Xenopus tropicalis: one gene and its partners. The protein of the gene in region 1 interacts with the protein of each later gene in a pairwise test. Links are inferred from orthologs where the notes say so. Each region holds a gene or a part of one and is shown in the gene's direction. Other genes may lie near its edges.

Region 1 (3,520 bases):
ATCGCACGCCCTTTACTTAAAAAAAAATAAATGAAATCTTTCAGGAAGACTCCTCTCTGCACTCTTTTTAATAGTGTTTTTAACTTTTATGATTTATGCCTCCCTGCTTGCTTTCTCTGCACAATTGATCTACTTCAGCACTGTGGGCTGAAAGGTTAATCTTTGAAGCAGTCCTAATACAGATCTTTACATTAGTGCTGGAAAGGCAAGCAGGCATGCATGCAAGGCCCACGCATAAATAATTAAGTAAGGGGGAATGAATTAAGAACAATTTAACAAAAAGGTGGGTCAGTGAAGGAGGGGAGTTATGTAGTGGGCTTGAAGGGCACCTATCGCCCCCATATTGCTTCATTAGTTTTTCTTAAACATAATAGCCCCCCACCAGTGCTAGGCTACCTGCATCAGGAAGGAGCTTCTGGTGCAGGCAGTCATGTTATGGCACACGCAAGTTTATTATACACGTATGTGACATATGAGGGTGAGTCGCATCCACTGAAACAGATGAATAAATTGTAAAAAGTAAATAGCGTTAATCTGAATAATAAATGAATTAATTGGGGCGCCCTAAGTGGTGGGATAAAGGCATAGTTAAAGTTATTTGTACCAAATACAGCATGGAGACCCGGGTGTGTATACCCCGAGTCTATCTCCCAATGGATCTAAACCAGAACCCCAACACAGTCAATTCGGCTCTCATCATATAAAGATAGAAAAACCAAAAAGCTCACCGCTGTCCAGAAGTGGCCCGGGTGCTTAAAGCCCCGAACCCGTAGCTGGGGAAGGCAGAATCATATATAGGCAAGGAAGCTTCAAACGCACCGGACACAAAAGGTTCGCTAAAAATCGATCTTTATTACTCCATTTAAAATCAGTATATCTGATGCGTTTCGTGTGTTTGTGCACTTAATCATAGGCAGGTCCCATCCACCACGCCAATATTAAGCGCATGCACGTAAGTGAGTGGGTAGATTTGTGCATTATGTGCATGCACGCCAAACAACATGGCAACCCGCACTGGGAACTACCTCCCAGTGTGGGACCTAGCACCGATGGGAGCTTTTTATGATAATCTATTGATTTCCCCCAACAGGAGTGTGGGCTGTGAATTCTGACCCTGTATAAGCTGACAACACCATCTAACTATGCTGCCAGATTCTTCCTGTAAATCAAGCATTTAAGTTCTGCCCTACAAGCCTTGATTGACAAGCCCCAAGGGACCATAACAGCTTAAACTGAGGAAAATGGTCCAAAGCCATGCTGTCCAATGTCTGTGGTACTGAGGGCTGGAATTTTTCTGGGATATGTGGTGGAGGGCTGCTAATGGAAGCCACTCCCTTTTTTTTTTTAAACCGCACCCACTTAAAAACACACCCTATTACAAGAACTTTTAAGACCATACCCACATTAATGTTGGTAGCACAGCAAAAACCCAAATGTTTGGCGCTTACTGGAGGTATATCCCCTGTCATTTATATGTGAGCACAGCAAACCCCAGCACATATGACACACTTTAGGGATCCCTAACAACAATTTATAGGCACCCATCTTTGGGCCCCGACCCATAACTTAAGAATCAATGGTATACTTGCTCTTTTATGTCAGGGGGAATCTTTTTGTTTTAATTTTTTTTAATTTTTTTTTTACACCTAATGATTTCACATGTAGCTATCTTCTGCAATAAATAAATCAAAATTTGGGCTTGAGTACCACCTTTTTAAAAAAAGTTATATTATTTATTCTGTTGTGCTTCCACTTCAGCTTCAAGGGCTAAGCTGTCAATGCTGAATACTATGTCTAAGATACGTGGGCAGGTGAAGAATCCAGGATATCCGCAGCCAGAAGGTGTTTTAGGAGAGACTATGATCAAATTTGGCAAAGATCTTGGGGATGAATCAAATTTTGGTAAGTGCAGTTATTAATGCCCTAACTAGCATAATGCTTTTCTAAGTTGTGTTAAGTGTAGATTTCAGAGTGGCTGTAGACACTAATATGCTTTGTCAAATAGGTGATGCTTTGCTGGATGCTGGGGAGTCAATGAAAAGGTTGGCAGAAGTAAAGGATTCTCTGGATATTGAAGTGAAACAAAACTTTTTGGATCCGCTACAGAATCTTTGTGACAAAGATTTGAAGGAGATACAGGTGAGGCTTTGGACTAGTCACCTCCTGTGCTGGTATGCCAAGAACTGGTAAAGCAGTAACTTCAGTAATAAACTGCTATAAAGGTGCTTGGCTTAAGTTGTCAGTGTATGGTACAGATGTGCTTTTTAACATGTCTTTGTTTTGATAACTTCTTACATTAGAATTATGTGTATTGCAGCATCATCTAAAAAAACTGGAAGGCCGGAGGTTAGATTATGACTACAAGAAGAAGCGACAAGGAAAGATACCAGATGAAGAGCTGAGACAGGCCATGGAAAAGTTCATTGAATCAAAAGAAGTGGCTGAGACGAGCATGATTAATTTGCTTGATACAGATGTAAGTAGGAGTTAACTTTTTCATGGTGCTACATTACTGTAAATTATAATTTCAAACCACTTTGTTCATCCAGCCCCAAACTCAATTAGTCCACCTGGTCTTAAATAACAACTATATGCCACCCAGCTGCTGTCCTGGGCCAATGGCACTTGTAATTGTGCAATTAGCCCTATAATACACCCGCAAGTGATCCAGGACAGGGAAACCGTTAACGCATTGGCAGTTCCAGACCAGCAGTAGACAATGGTGGGCATTTATAATCTCTTGGCAGTAACTCATGGCAACAAATTAGATGTTTGCTTTCATTGTTCTACCTTTGGCTGGTTGAAAAAGGCAAATCACTGTGATTGCTATAGGTTACTGCCCAGGTGCAAATTTGCAAATGAGCCCCTGTGAGATATTAAGTATTAAGGGACATAAAAAGGCCAAAATAATGGTAGCACCTCAGGTCATAGAGGAGAATGTATAATCAATAGGTGGTACAAAAAAATTCTCTCTCCTTGACCTTTAAAGGGGTTAGAGAGATGCCTTTAATTTGCGATGAAAGACAATGCCCCCAACACATGTATATTAACTAACAAGGCAGAAGACACTAAAATGATTTGTGTTTCATCAGTCCTAAAACTAGATGATAACCCAGTTTAGCAGATAAATCAAAAACATAATGCTTGTTCATTTATTTGTGTGTGGCAAAAGTATATGAACCTAATTTTATTTGAAGGGGAAATTATGTTCAGAAGTTTCAACCAATGGTATGATAAATGGGTGTTCGTGTTTAGAGGCTCTGGGTTTTCACTCTTCTAGTCTGATGTTAAGAATACAGGTTTTTGAAAGTGTTTTGACTTGAATAAAGAAAATTTCTGATGACATACAAAAAAGTTACAGCTTGAGCATAAATAAACCCGACTATGTGGGGGAATCCAAAAAATGGAGAAAAGTGGTGCTTAAACTGGTTTAAAAAAAGTTTTCCATATCCGCAAACAGAAATCCGCCTACATTCCAACTCAACCACTACTTTTCAGGTGGATACAATTCAACTTGACT
Region 2 (3,520 bases), on another chromosome or scaffold:
TTTATTGATTCAGATTTGATTCATCCAAATCTTGAACCTATTCGGTGCATCCCTATAGTGATACGGACACTAAAAAACTATTTTTCAAAATATGAATGTACATTAAAAGTTACATATAGGTCATGATAGTTTTTTATTGAGAGGGCTGCTTTTGTAAGTAATTGTCACCTAAAGTTCATTAACCTGACTGTTTTGCCAACCTAATTGTCCCTTCTTAGTCTGTTATAGCTTCTAATGCTAACAGACTCCTGATGCACAAATATGGCAGCCCCCCTCATGGAGGAACACGGGGATCAGAAAGAAAGAATGAAAGAAAATGGTCAAGTCAAGTTAAAAAAAAAAAGTTTAATTTCTGGTGTCAGTATTTCTTAAGGGTTCGTACTGATGAGCGTTTTTTCCTTTGCTCCCCTGCATTGGAAGCAGGAGACTGCCACCCCAGGGGAGCTCAGGAAAAAACGCTCATCTGTACGAGCCCTAAAACATTAAAATCAGAGAAGGTCTTCATGTAATTTAGCACTTTCTGTATGTTGGGTTCCTGGGTCCCCATATCTGTAGCTTAAGTTAATGGCAGTCTAAGTCAACTTAAGTCAAGATTCTGATGTATATTTTGAATTTCTTTCTCTAGCAATAAACCAAACCCAAATCAGATCAATGTGAATAACGTCAAGCCTGCAGTAGTAAATGGTACAGCAGTACAGGGGCAAAACGTGGCTGTAGGAAGGGCATGTGAAAGGGCATGTGAAAGCTGCTACAGTAAGTGTTTTTTAACCTTTTTAAAAAAAGAAAATATTTGTCATACATGTTTGTAATGAGGCACATCATTATTTATTATTATGTAGCTTTTTTTATTTGCTTTATCTTGTGTATAAAGTGTGAATGTTATATATAAAGGTGGATATTCAGAGGAATGTCCTGTGCACTTCATAATTTATAGTGTGTTAGTAACACAAATTTAAAAAGCACCAGCATAATCTGCAGTGCTGTACAAAAAATTGGTGTATGTGAAACATACTGATTACAACCAAAAAAAAAAAATTGTGTACAAGAGGGAGAGCGGGTTCTGCTGTGATGTTATCAGCAGATATTTAAAAAATGTAAAGTTTACATCTCCGCTCAAATTTAATTTTTTATACCAGTGGGCATGGGTAATTAATATAATATTCAGATTAAGCCTTTAAGAACTATGTCAGTTAGTACTATTCCCACAAGCAGCCTTTGAAGCTTCTGTCTGTTACAGCTCTGTTAAAAAAATAAATAAATGCTTGGACAGATTGTGGTAATATGAGTGACCTTATTGTAGGAATTTGTACATTAAACAGTTTTTTTATGTTGTTGTAAAAACCATATTGGTGATTTGTATTGATACCTGAAGCCAGTAGAATTCCTTGAAATAAATCCTATTCTTACATTAGGCATTTTGATTATTCTGCTTGTTAAATTTGCAGCTTTTTTTTTTTTTTCCCCCTGTGCTAAAACTTTTTGGTAGGCCCTGTAAAAGCAACGGTTAACGATATGAACACATCCCTTTGGCTCAGTCTATTTGGCATTTACTTTCCCTCTGAGTATACGCTCTGCATTCTGATTTGTGCGCTTCCCTGCACAAGTATCTCCCAGTGGCAAGAGGACTGTTTTGTAATTTGAATAAAAAGCTAAAACAAAAGTGTTCAGAAAGACTGGTTAATTGTCATGTAGACAAAAGTCAAAAAGCAAGTGTTTGCGTACAAGAGTAAAAATTTAAGTAGTTTTTAAATAAGACCTAGAGAAAGGAGCTGGACAAGTAGAAAGATTGAAGTCGGGTATATTTAAGAAAAGTCCCTGCCATGAAATTTTACTCGGATTTTAATGTTCTCTGCCCTCTTTCCATCAGCCACGCAGTCGTACCAGTGGTATTCCTGGGGACCTCCAAACATGCAGTGCCGCCTTTGTGCATCATGTTGGGCATACTGGAAGAAGTATGGTGGTTTAAAGATGCCAACACGACTGGATGGGGAGAGGCCGGGGCCAAACCGTAATAACATGGTGTGTGTATATCTGGACAGGCAAAGCATTATACCCCTTTTTTGTTTTTTTGTGTGCTCCTCTCCAGTTTTCTGAAATGAAATAGCTGCTTGATTGGTAATGTTTCTCTATATCCCTGTATCACAGAGCCCACATGGTCTTCCAATGAGAAATAGTGGAAGCCCGAAATTTGCAATGAAGACACGGCAAGCATTTTACCTGCACACTACAAAGCTGACCAAGATAGCAAGGCGGCTGTGTCGAGACATCTTTCGGCCAAGATATGCAGCAAGACACCCATATATGCCTATTAACAGCGCTGCCATCAAAGCAGAATGTAGGTATCTGTACAATGAATTATTCTTTAGAATACTTACCACTATCTTTTTATAGCAGCTTGCTTACTGACATACTGGCTTTTTCACAGGCACAACAAGGCTTCCCGAAGCATCGAAGACCCCGCTTATATTAAAACAGGTTGTCCGAAAACCCTTAGAAGAAGTGATGCGATATATAGGTAGAAATACTGTTGATAATCGGTTTTGATGTACTTATGTAAGTTTACAAGGGGGTTAAAAATATGAAACCTGTGTTTTTTTTTTTTTTATTTCTCAGAGGCACACCCCTGCCCTCCTAAACAAGACCTAATCAAAAACATTTCTACAAGTATCAACAACAGCTTGACCCCTACCAAATCCTCTCCTGTTATTAACAATGGATCACCAACCATCCTGGGAAAACGCAGCTATGAGCAGCATAATGGTATGGATGGTAAGTATCCCTTCTCTGGCATTATTTTTATGTCTCTTTGTGTCAAATAGTCTTCTATAAGGGATGTACTTTTTGCTAAGTGGTGCTGCACATTATAAAGAGCCCTCTAAAAGGGAGGACTTTTCTGTGCAAAGGTCATTCCTTCTTTGTATATTAAAACTGAAGTTAATAAGAACCAGAGATCTTTTTAGAAAGGCTTAATACCATTTGTGATCCAAGGTTTTAATTAAACTTTTTTATCAGAACTGCAGCAGTTAAGGCAAGCAGTATGGTTGCTCCTATATACATGCAGTATGGGCTAGCTGGGTCATTTAACATCCCCTTAACACACACACTATGTGAGTCCCTCTGCTTTCTAGAGAACTAAAACTCTTGTTGGGCACTTTTTTCCCCCCATGGTTTTACTAGCCCTTTAAAGGAGAAGGAAAGGCAAAGTCAGTTGGGGGTGCCAAAATGTTAGGCACCCCCCAGGGACTTAAATCGCCTACCTTGTACCCCGGGCTGGTGCCCCCTGTAAGGAGAGAACAGCACCAGCCCAGGGTACCTGTAGCGCTTCCTCCTTCCGTCTTCGCTCGCGCGCATGCGCAGTAGGGTGAAGACGGAAGAACAGAGAAGCCTGCTTTTCACTCTACTGCGCATGCGCCTGTCGTTTAGTCCTTCCAAAATGAAGCCAGAAGGAGGAAGCGCTCCGCTACAGGTACCCTGGGCTGGTGCTGTTTTCTCCTAACAGGGGCACCAGCCCAGGGTACAA
Region 3 (3,520 bases), on another chromosome or scaffold:
CCAACTGTCTGGGCATTTTTCACTTGGGGTGGTAATACTTTTACCTATCAGGCCACCCTGTGATTCTGTCAGGTCCCAGTTATCCATCAAGATAAAAAATGCTATGTGCCAAGCGACGAAGTAGGAGTTGCTGCAGCTTTCTGCATGTTTAGTACATACATTATATTCCTGCATACTGCACTGGGGCAGATATCAGCAACAGTGCTTCAATGTTATTGAAGGGGAAAATGGCACAGCAAGCAATTCGGAATCAGCAGCTGTGAGAAGGAAGTGAAAGAGACTCGGCCAGAGCATCCTTCTATGCTCTTCCTTCATGTATTTCCTGCCAGGGTTGTGGGATATGGGCCCCCTGCTAATAACCTAACATGACGCAAGTAGGCGAATGTACAGGGATACACAGGACTGAAGGCAGCCTTTGCCTAAATGGTAAACATGTCTCACAGTCCTGCCTTTCCATGCATTGTGCAGTGCTGGATTAATTAAGATGAAACCTTTATTTCCACTATGTGAAACATGTAGCTCTGTACTACCACATCTCTGACTTTTCGTATCTTTCTGCATCTGAGTGAGCTTATATATATTATTGATATAAATATATATATATATATATATATATATATTTACTTGAAAATCACATTCACATTGTACTACTCTAACCCATTTTTATCATGTTCTTCTTTTCAGCTGGGCTTTGCTGATCTCAATCTGGCTGAGTTTGCTGGTTCTGGCTCCACAGCCCGCTGTTGCCTGCTGGAAGGTTATGATACCAGGAACACAAGGCAGGACAACTCCATTCTAAAGGTAGCAGGTCTTTTTTTGCTCTATGGTCATGCATCTGCTCATTAACCGCACTTTCTGCTGTGAAATCCCTTGTAACGTGCCTTTTCTTGACAGGTAATTATTGGGATGTCGCTGCTCTCTGGTGACCCGTGCTTTAAGACGTAAGTGACAGCATTGCCTACATCTGATCTTCCATTATTGCTTCCTTATATATAGGCTTTTACACCTTAGTAAAGCTTCCTGTTAAACAAAGAATATCCTACAAACTTCTTCTCTTAACCTTCAAAGCCCTCCATTCCTCTGCTCCCCACTACATCTCTTCCCTTGTGTCTCCGTACGTTCCTGGCCGACTCCTTCGTTCCACGCAGAGCAACCGTTTGGTTGCGCCCCCCACTACTACTGCGGTTTCCTGCCTTAAACCCTTCTGCCTTGCTGCCCCTTACATTTGGAATTCCCTCCCTGATGTCCTCCGTAGAGAATCCTCCCCCAGTCTTTTTAAAACCAAACTAAAAGACTACCTTTTGGAGCACTCGCCCAGCACCTGATCTGGGAAATAGCACTTATATTGTAGTGTCACCCACTGTGACCTACAGCACTTATATTTGCCTATTTGTGTCTGTAAGTTACCCTCCCATATAGATTGTAAGCTCTACGGGGCAGGGACCTCCATCCTCGTGTGTCTTTGACTCTTAACTTATTGCAACTGTAACTGTATCTTGTATTTATTTGTATTTATTGTTATACTTTGTATTTATCTATTATCTTATTAACCCCCTGTTTGTATTAATGTATTCTACTGTACAGCGCTGCGTACATAAGTAGCGCTTTATAAATAAAATTATTCATACATATACATACAAGCAAGGCAACTCCCTTGTCTGAGTAATGGCTCTGCTGTAAAGCTGTCGCTTGCCTATGCTAAGCAACTATCCTGCAGAGTTTTTATTATAATCTGAACACGTTTTTACTGATTTAAACTATAAAAATAAAATGGCTTTTTTAAAGAATGAAAGCATGGCAGCTCCCTCTCTCTCAAATCAATTAAAAAAAATACCTGAGTAGTATAAATATTAAGCTATTTTATAAAGACACAGCATGAACCACTATGTCTTTATAACATACTGAATTTACATTATTTCATGCTAACAACTTGTTCTTTTTCCACTTTCTTCAGACCTCTATCTACAGCCAAAACAGTTTCCCCTCCAGGACAAGACTCCTCATTACAGATGACATGTAAAGGGGAAGGGACTGTGAGATCGGCGGGTGGCACCGTACGGCAGAACCGAAGCCGGCAGGCTATGCTGAGCTCAGGTATGGCCTAGTCCTGGATGGCTTGTGCATTATACAGAGCAGCTGCAGGACCAGTACTATAGATAAACACATTAGAAATACAGACCTAGAACATTGTCCACAGTATTCAAATAAAGTGTGGCTCAGCCGACATTAATTCAAACAGGTATTTCTTGACCCAGGTTTGTACCTTAGGTCCAGCGCTGAGAGGGGGTAATGCAATTACAATGGAGGGCCAAAAAACAAAACTCACCCCAGTGCAAACAGCCCCAAGTCCCGCGCCAACAGAGGAGGACAGTTTAGATCCTCCAAAACTTCAAAGTATAAGAACAACTCGCCCATTTTTTTCCTATTCAAGCCTATTATATTTCATACAAACTACATTTTATTGAAAATATTTAAAGTGAAGTGAAAAAGAAAAAAAAAATGTTGTATCATCTTGATTAGATAATAGTAACTGTAAACCTTTGCTCCATTTCTGAAGGCATTAAAGGGTTAAAGTGTAATGGGGTTTATGACATAATATCCTGATACGTGTTTTAAATAGAGCGGTTGTAAATGTTTCTGTATAGACTATGATTATGTGCCTTGTGGACGAAATCCATCAGGCAGCTTTTAATGTTTGGTGTGCAAGCCATCTATGGATTAAAGTCAGTATTTAATTTATCCACATTTATTTTATTGTCTTTTTATATTTTCAGGTGGATTTGACGAAACCGAGCAAAACCTATCGAGCCCAGAGGAAACGTCCCATTCAGGGCATTCCCGGAACTCTAGCCAGGCCAGTCAGCAATCAAAAGTGTCAGGTAAGCATCTCACAAGTGTTGTTTATCCTTCTTGCAAAGAGTCTCTGTTCATATTCCAGCATATCACCTTAAGTCCGGCAGGTATCTATCACTAAATACGTTTGCAATGTGCTCTTTTTCTGTGCAGGTCACAGTTCTGAACATTCTCGCTGCTCCAGCATGTCCGACCTGACTCACAGGCGTAACACGTCCACCAGCAGTAGCGTCTCAGGGTGTCTCAGCCTCACAGCCGACGGGACTGAACCCGAACGAGATGTTAAGCTGGAAAAGCCTCCACGGCCTATTCGGCCTCCCCTCCACTCAGACAGACACTCCAGGTAGAATTATACCTACTGTATTCAGATTTGTGCTTGTGTAGGGATTTCCTGTTGGTTATTCGTGTGCCTTCTTCCTTTATATCATGATGCAAAAATCATGTCCAGTTTTGGGCTAGGGCCACAATGCATATGTTTCATAAGGTGGCCATACACATTACAATAATGATCTTTCCTGCAACCATTGTGCTGTGTGAAAGGCTCCCTGCAATAAGCGGCATCCAGTATTGTGCTGCAATATCTCATATCTAATAATAGTTATGGATTTTCCCATAAAAGGCAGCAGGGGTGATTTTTGGAACTTGGCACCCTTAGCTTTTCTCTGAT

The links.
Region 2: the proteins of sh3gl1 (region 1) and mta1 interact in binary tests that used the Homo sapiens proteins (3 or more experiments, as listed by UniProt). The two-hybrid records come from large-scale screens. The link is inferred for Xenopus tropicalis from reciprocal best matches to the Homo sapiens genes SH3GL1 and MTA1.
Region 3: the proteins of sh3gl1 (region 1) and fam102a interact in binary tests that used the Homo sapiens proteins (3 or more experiments, as listed by UniProt). The two-hybrid records come from large-scale screens. The link is inferred for Xenopus tropicalis from reciprocal best matches to the Homo sapiens genes SH3GL1 and EEIG1.

The regions. Positions count from the first base shown.
Region 1 is NC_030677.2:93,866,959-93,870,478, forward strand, and holds part of sh3gl1 (endophilin-A2), read left to right. Parts: intron 1-1,758; coding exon 1,759-1,902; intron 1,903-2,005; coding exon 2,006-2,139; intron 2,140-2,317; coding exon 2,318-2,476; intron 2,477-3,520. UniProt on the Homo sapiens protein: Implicated in endocytosis. May recruit other proteins to membranes with high curvature.
Region 2 is NC_030684.2:115,925,802-115,929,321, reverse strand, and holds part of mta1 (metastasis-associated protein MTA1), read left to right. Parts: intron 1-625; coding exon 626-753; intron 754-1,867; coding exon 1,868-2,019; intron 2,020-2,145; coding exon 2,146-2,335; intron 2,336-2,425; coding exon 2,426-2,515; intron 2,516-2,613; coding exon 2,614-2,769; intron 2,770-3,520. UniProt on the Homo sapiens protein: Transcriptional coregulator which can act as both a transcriptional corepressor and coactivator. Acts as a component of the histone deacetylase NuRD complex which participates in the remodeling of chromatin.
Region 3 is NC_030684.2:25,539,423-25,542,942, forward strand, and holds part of fam102a (protein FAM102A), read left to right. Parts: intron 1-684; coding exon 685-801; intron 802-894; coding exon 895-941; intron 942-1,954; coding exon 1,955-2,094; intron 2,095-2,774; coding exon 2,775-2,879; intron 2,880-3,006; coding exon 3,007-3,196; intron 3,197-3,520. UniProt on the Homo sapiens protein: Key component of TNFSF11/RANKL- and TNF-induced osteoclastogenesis pathways, thereby mediates bone resorption in pathological bone loss conditions.